Rattus norvegicus: one gene and its partner. The protein of the gene in region 1 purifies or fractionates together with the protein of each later gene. This does not show direct contact. Links are inferred from orthologs where the notes say so. Each region holds a gene or a part of one and is shown on either strand. Other genes may lie near its edges.

What was found.
Region 2: the proteins of Tollip (region 1) and Cstf1 purify together in Homo sapiens (co-immunoprecipitation; 3 studies listed by BioGRID and IntAct, with this or other methods). This does not show direct contact. The link is inferred for Rattus norvegicus from reciprocal best matches to the Homo sapiens genes TOLLIP and CSTF1.

Annotation. Positions count from the first base shown.
Region 1 is NC_086019.1:206,398,481-206,402,292, reverse strand, and holds part of Tollip (toll-interacting protein), read left to right. Parts: intron 1-185; coding exon 186-368; intron 369-1,423; coding exon 1,424-1,576; intron 1,577-2,729; coding exon 2,730-2,820; intron 2,821-3,812. UniProt on the Homo sapiens protein: Component of the signaling pathway of IL-1 and Toll-like receptors. Inhibits cell activation by microbial products. Recruits IRAK1 to the IL-1 receptor complex. Inhibits IRAK1 phosphorylation and kinase activity.
Region 2 is NC_086021.1:181,561,841-181,565,752, forward strand, and holds the start of Cstf1 (cleavage stimulation factor subunit 1), read left to right. Parts: upstream 1-1,114; 5' UTR 1,115-1,301; intron 1,302-1,338; exon of another isoform or gene 1,339-1,474; intron 1,475-3,217; exon of another isoform or gene 3,218-3,220; 5' UTR 3,221-3,249; coding exon 3,250-3,418; intron 3,419-3,912. UniProt on the Homo sapiens protein: One of the multiple factors required for polyadenylation and 3'-end cleavage of mammalian pre-mRNAs. May be responsible for the interaction of CSTF with other factors to form a stable complex on the pre-mRNA.

The DNA of each region.
Region 1 (3,812 bases):
GAGTCATGTGAGTCCAGGAGTGACCGGCAGCATGTTCAAGAGCAGGTTACTGACACAGTGAGGTGAACTTGAAGACTGTTTTTTCACACACTAGGAAATACCTGTAAGGAAAGCAGTTTACATAAGCACTGGCTTTTGTTTCTGCTGGTGGATGCCTCATTTTTCTAAATTTGGTGTTATTTCAGGCCAAATTGGCAAAGAATTATGGCATGACTCGTATGGACCCTTACTGCCGCCTGCGTCTGGGCTATGCTGTTTATGAAACTCCCACAGCACACAATGGCGCCAAGAACCCTCGATGGAACAAGGTTATTCAGTGCACAGTGCCCCCAGGTGTGGACTCGTTCTACCTTGAGATCTTCGATGAGGTGAGAGATGCTCCAATGTTACAGAGTTGCCAAGTTTGGGATCTGGCAGCCATGGGTGTGCTGCATGTGCCTTGTGGTTGTAGTCATGAGGCTGTTCTACTGGTGCTCAGGACCTTTGTACCTAGCATTTAGTGACTAGTGACAGGGTGTAACCTGCCTGGACACCTGGCATTTAGTGGCTGAATGACAAAGTACAGTTTCTTTGACAGTGTCCATTAGGAGCCATCACCAGTGATAGAAGCATGAGTAGAGTGTGAAGATAGATGTTCATGGATAAGTCGAATTACAAATAAGTCAGCACCCTCAGTGAGGGGAACACTGTTCTTGCAGGCCTCAGTTCCAGGCTCTGACACTAATGTCCCATGGCCATACCAGCAGTTAGGTGTGCAACTTTTTGAGGGCAGTCAGGAAACTCAGGTGGCTGAAGATGTCTTCTCGCAGCTTAGTTCTGGAGACCATGTGCTTGCCTCCTTGAAACAGAGCAAAGGGCAGTGGGAAGAGAATGGGGACGGTGAGAGCCAGAAAGGAAGTGGGCATGGGTAGTCCAGCGAGGGGGACGCAGCCACTCATTTGTCTTTACCCCCTTCCTCTGCTTTCTTCTTCAGCGTCTGTGAAGAGTAGGGATATGGGAAGGAGGGTTGGGCTATGGATGGGCTGGCAGCTCTTGTCCTTGTCTGTACCTACTGGGCTTGAGACTTACAGCTTCTATCTAGTTGATTAGTTAGGGCCACAAGGACTGCAGAGGACAGTGTCCATCCCTGAGCAAGGATGGCAGCCAAGAGATTTCTTTATTGTCCTTTGGCCTGACCTTATGGTGGTTACTCAGAAGATGCAGAAGTAGTGGTGGCCAGGTACAGGTCACCTGGATGTCTGGGATTGTGGTTTAATGGGAAGCTCCTTGGAGGAAGCTGGAGCAGTGAGAGGAACCCTGTCCTGCCAAGAACACAGAAGGTAGATGCAGGCGGCAGTCCAAGCACAGCCTTAGGAAAAGCTGGTCTCTATAACATGGGTCGTTGAGGGCCATAATGAGGTCATTTTACTCTTGTCTTCCTCAGCGAGCCTTCTCCATGGACGACCGCATAGCTTGGACCCACATCACTATCCCCGAGTCCCTGAAGCAGGGCCAAGTGGAGGACGAGTGGTATAGCCTGAGTGGGAGGCAGGGCGACGACAAGGAGGGCATGATTAACCTGGTCATGTCCTATACGGTGAGTTCACTGTCTGGCGAGGCCATTCTCAAAGAGGGTCTGGCACCTCCTTGAGATAGCTATGGCTCCCAGAACCTTGGGAAGTCATGGGAGGCAGGGCTGGGGGTCTGGTTTCCCACTGTCTCCTTTGTATTATCTGGGCCTTTCCTTTTAGTTGTTCTTGAGCCTTTGAGAACAGGGGAGTATAAAGCACCCGGTATGCAGGCCTCCTCCGCTTTACCATCCTACATGCCTCTCCTGGTGTGGAGTGTCACCCATCTTTAACAGGTGCTTTATGTAGCATAGGTCCATTGTATACTCGCTCATCTACAGTTCAAGATTATTTGAGCTGGGGCAGGAGAGGTGACTCAACAGGTTAAGAGCACTGCTGCTCTTGTGATTCCCAGTACCTTCATGGTGGCTGACAACCAACTGTAACTCCAATTCCAGGGGATCCAATACCCTAATCTAACCTTCACTGGCATCAGGCACACACATAATGCACACACATATAGGCACACAAAACACTAAGATATGTTAAATAAAACAAAGCAGTTCAGCATTTCCGAGAGAAGCTACTGATACTGATGCAGTCTCCAAAATGGACCCTGAAGGGAGCTTTGTAAGTCCTGTGTGAGAAGTGGTGTGGTTGTAGCTCGTGTGAGCCAGTGGTTGACATCATTTGTTTTCTTTGGTCTTCACCTTGACTCTTGTTCTCACTGAAACTGAAACTCATTCCATTCACTAGATTGGCTGGCTAATGAACTTGAGGGATCTTCTTGTCTCTGCCTCTCTCGTCCTAGGATTATAGATATGTGTCACACACACACACACACACACACACACACACACACACACACACACATAAACATAGCTTTATATATGGGTGCCGGGGATTGAACTCATGTCCTCATGCTTGTGCACCAAGCACTTTCCTAACTGAGCTGTAGTTCTGAGTCTGCAGCCCAAGTCTTCCAGCTGAAGGGAGGAGGTCTGCAGGAGTGGTGCAGATGAAACCAGTGGCCATGGACACTACATTCTTGCTGAGGATTCCATGTCTTGGGTGTTGCTGTCTGGGCTGTGGCTAGGACTAGCCCTATGATACCAGAAGTAACAAGATTGACATATGGTATGGTCCTCCTTGACACCCATGTTTTTCTTTGTTGTGTTTCAGTCCCTTCCAGCTGCCATGATGATGCCGCCTCAGCCTGTGGTTCTGATGCCAACTGTGTACCAGCAGGGTGTTGGCTATGTGCCCATTGCAGGTGTGTACTGCTTCTTTGGTAGGCATCCCAGGGACAAAGTAGGACAGGAGGAGGGAGGGGCCCAGCATTCCTATGAAGCTTGAGTAGTGTAGAATTGTGTAAGCATGGCTATTTTAAATGAAGACCTTCTAAAACCTACTCCAGTGTCATATTTGAATTATTTTTGTATACATAGGAAGTAGTGTTTGCTCTGTTTTTGCCACAAGTAAGGTGAGTTGAAATTTTTAGAGGTGTAGAAACGTTGTCTAGGAATATTTTCATGTATGAGTTGTAGGAATAAGAAAATCTGGTTCCTGTTAGACAAGGCATACTACATCTTAAATCATGGCTTTCGTTGAAAGTATTTACCCATGTAAATTAATACCTGCTTGAGTCGTAAAGTCAAGATGTGGCTTTTATATATTTTTTTAATTTTTAACCTTCCTGTGGATTTCACAGTACCTGGTGTCCAGTTGGCCTTCCTACCAGAGTAGGGCAAGCCAGATGAGATCACACACCTGCTTTCTTAGCCAACAGGAAAGACTGTGGCTCTGAGAGTAGACACCAGGGCAGGCCTTCAGGACCCCTGTTCTCTGCTAGGGTTCAGGAAACTGGAGTCCAAGCAAACCATGTAGTCCTGCTATCCCAAGGAATTCAAAGGCTAAGGCAGTAGGGATGGCCAGTCCATAGGGCAAGAGGGAATATGAGATCCTGGATGGGGCTTTGCCTATATGGTCCCTGCTTGCTGGTGCTCAGAGTGAGCATTGCTTTGGATCTAGGACAGCACAGAGCTGCTGTGGTTCATCTGTGTGGGGTCTGAGGGTTCCACACAGTCAGAATGGAGTGACTCATTAGTCTTTATTAAACTTAGCCCTTACGCCAGCTGAGCGAGGGAAGATAGTACAGGACTTGGGAATGAAATCCACCCACACATATCCTGAAAACAGCCCTGACAGACAGAACTTGGGCCTTCTGCCTATGACAAATCTCCCTGCAGGGACAAAGGGCAGCGT
Region 2 (3,912 bases), on another chromosome or scaffold:
CCTAACCTTAGGTTTATGGTTGAGACAGAATTTCCTGGATCCCAGGCTGGCCTTGAACATGCTAAACGGTGGAGATTACTTTGAACTCCTGCTCCTCTGCCTGCGGTACCTCAGTGCTGGGATTACAAATTCATCGCCATCCTCAATGTATGAAGTGCTGGGGAGGGGACCCAGGACGTGCTAGGACCTTACTAACTGAACTACACTCCCAGACAGGCTCCACTTTTGAGACACTGTAGCGGAGAGACTGGCCTCAGATTCAAGGCTATCCTTCTGCCTCAGACTGCTGAGGCACACTTGGGGTGTTTGTGTGTGGTAGGAGTTGGGGGGATATTGAGTCTGGGTCCTATGTAGTTTAGGCTGGGTTTTTGGACCTACTGTGTAGCTGAGGATGACCTTTGACTTCTGAGCCTGCCTCCACCATCTTACTGTTGGAATAAACAGCGGGAAGGGGGTCATGAAGGCAGTGCTGGGGTCAAGCTTTGGGCTTCTGGGATACTCTACAAATTGGGCTTTAACGGGTCTAAGGTGCGAACCAGACCCTCAAATAGTCCCGACGTAAACTGCTCAGAAGGCTGCGGTGAGAGCAGCACCAGTCCTGGGCACTCTACGAGGGAACTCCCGTTCATCTGCGGACTCGATTCGACCTAGACTCCGACTCTCCACCCGAAGCAGTCCTCACTAAGCCGCAGTTCCCGCGTCCACCATCAGTTTGCAAATTACTCGGTTAGCTGGCGGTCTGGGTCCCCATTCCCACAAAAGCCTAAACCCAAGCCAGGAAAAAAGCCGTCTGGGTCTTTCTTAAACGGAATGCAAACCCACTAAGACAGTCCATTACCCCGATGCCACTCAACCTTCCCCTTCGGTTTGCAGCAACCAAGCTCGTCCTCACCAACCGGGTCCCCTTCCTACTCACAGGCAAGAACCTGCTTCCGACCGAAGTCTCCAAGCGATCCCGGTAGCTCAGCCGTTACAATTCAAAGGTTCTCCTTTTAAAATAGGAGTTAAACCCTCTCCTCCGAGAGCTGATTGGCTATAGCCGGAGCGACGCCGTTCTGTGATTGGCTCACCCTGAACGCGACTACGGGAAGCTCGTTCCTTGCCGTAGCTGGGCGCAGGCGCACTGAGCTGTCGGAGCCCGGAAGTGGTGCACCAACGGCCTGTCCGATCTACGGCCGTTCTATCGCCCGCCGTGCTCTCCAAGGATCGGGCGTTTGCCGGTCACTCACAGTCCTTTGGATTCAAGGCTGTCGCGGAGGTGATCAGCTCGGAGAAGGTGAATGAGCGTCTCGAACGTGCCAGTGAGTAAGATGGCGAGAAGGGCAGGCTTGCGAGTGAGCGGGGACTTGCTCGGCGCTCGGCTGCATGCCCTTTGCACGTGCGCACTGAGTGTGCACTCAGAGCGATCGATCGGGCACGATTCGCGCCTCCATTTTTCTAGAAGAGAGCGGGAGACCGAGACCCTGATCAGCGGGTACGGGGTCGAGGGGTCGAAAGGGGACGGGATAGTGCGGTTGGCTAGGGTCTGTAGTGGATCACGTGAAGGACCGGGGCTAGCGGAGAGGATAGCGAGAGGCCGTTCGCCCCATGTCCGTGTCCTAGAGTTGCCCGGCCTGGCCTGCACCCCGGGTCTCAAAGGGCCTCGGTCCCGGTGGGTCCCTGCCTTGCGCCCTGAGCAGGAGTGGTCGCGCGGCTTCTCTCTGGGCCTCCTACATTCCCGGGTGTTAGCTTCCCGGGGTCAGGCTCCTCCTGTCTCGTGCCTCGGTGTCCAGTCCGCGAAGGATATAAATAGATCTATGCCCCATTGGAAGTTCAGTAGGGAGTTAAGTAAAGGCTCAACATCCTCCCCACCCCGTTTTCCTTAAATGTCGTGATAAAAGTTCTGGGCTCCGGAGTGTGCTGGCCCCTCCTCAACTTTTGGGGACTGACTTTAGCTTGAACGGGTGCCCTAGATTCTTCGAACTCATTTCACCCTATGTTGTATCCCAATGCCTTATGCAAGGGTAGATTTGTATACACTTATTTCTAATGTGCACGAATATATTGAATAGCTTCGTTTCGCGGTCGAATGCTAATTAGGTGCTTGACATCGTATCTGGCGGTAGGAACTGCCTGGTGTTATTGTTAAGGACTCTGGTCAGCACGATGCTGGGTGGCCTTGCTAGTCTTCTTATTTTAAATTGAACCTAGGGTATCTGTCAGCAAACACTTAACTCTTGGCTGTATCTCTAGGCTACCTTCTTGCTTGATGTCCCCAGACATCTATATTCAAGCATCTAACCACACATATACTTACCAAATTATCTACCCGGGTTGATTAAGAAACCATCATCTTCAGTTCTGTTTAATTTTCATGGACTGGTGAGCCTAGATCCTCCCAAATAAAACTTAAGAGCACAATGTTCAGATTTTTGCATTTCTTATTTGTTTTGATGGTAGTCATTTGTGTGTGTGTGTGTGTCTGTGTGTCTGTGTGTGTGATAGGGTCTCACTATGTAGTCCTGCCTGGCCTGTGACTACCTATGTAGACCAGGTTGGTCTCAAAATCACAGGGATCTCCTTGTCTCTTAGTCCCAAGTGCTGGGACTAAAGACGTGGGTGGGGCAGGCATTTGACACATTTAAGCAGTTTTACCTTAGGATCTTCCCAAAGCGTCGAACTTAGCTTATTTTTCATTTTGTGATCCTCCTTTGTTTTTTGGTTTGTTTTTTTTTTTGTTTGTTTTGTTTTTGTTTTTTCGGAGCTGGGGACCAAACCCAGGGCCTTGCGCTTGCTAGGCAAGTGCTCTACCACTGAGCCAAATCCCCAACCCCCTCCTTTGTTTTTTTATGATGTATTTGTGTGTTCGTGTACTGCCTCATCAAGTTGCATGATTATAATAATAAGCTCGGTTGCCTAGATTTACATTCCGGCTGGTGTGAAGTGGTCCAGGCATCCGACAAAACATAGCTATCAGCCTGTTGTGGGTGCCGCTGCTCACAGAAGAGTCAGGGGTAGCAGCAGAATAAAAGTTGCAGGTGGGTAGTTAGCAGCGAAGGACAAATGGTTGGGGATTCTAGCAGATCCATCAGTGACACTATTTGAAAAGTTTGATTAACCTCCAGTGACTTGGGTAACAGCTGAAGAACCTGAACTGAGAGAAGCAAGCAGACTGAGGTGTGTGCTTAGGCCTAGGAGGCGTGCCTCTGCCTTTCACCAGTGCTGGTTTTCCTTGCAGCAGTCAGGGGAACTGTCATCCTCTTGTGCAGAATGTACAGAACCAAAGTGGGCCTGAAGGACCGCCAGCAGCTCTACAAGCTGATCATCAGCCAGCTGCTCTATGACGGATACATTAGCATCGCCAATGGCCTCATCAACGAGATCAAGCCACAGTCGGTGTGTGCGCCCTCGGAGCAGCTCCTGCACCTCATCAAGCTAGGTAAAGCCTGGTGTGTTCACCCAGACCTCAGCACGAGGTTTGGCTTGCGCACTGGTCCAGGGCAGTTTCTGCAGTTACTCCTGTGTGCTGTCAGTGCCGGTGTGTGCGGAAGACAGTGGTGGGTACTGAAAGGGCGAGTGAAGACAGGGGATAAGCTGCTTCTCGGGCAGTCATACCCACATGCTGGGCACTCCCCTCGGGGCCCAGTTCAGGACTCTTGGCACACTGGCCCCTCGCCCCTCTAGTTATCCTGCCACCCCCGTGCTCCTTTGCTTGGTCACTCTGCCACAGCGCACCATTCCTTTCTTAACAGACAGTGTCGGAAGCTTGCCTTGTTCTTTGACTTAGTGCCACACATTCTTCACCTTCCTGCTCTGTACTCACCAGCTAGACCAGACCAGAATAGAATGTCTGTTGATCTCAGGATCGAGGGTTAACCTCTGATACCTGGCAAAATAATGAGCAAAGCATCCTGGGGCTCCAACTTCCTGCTA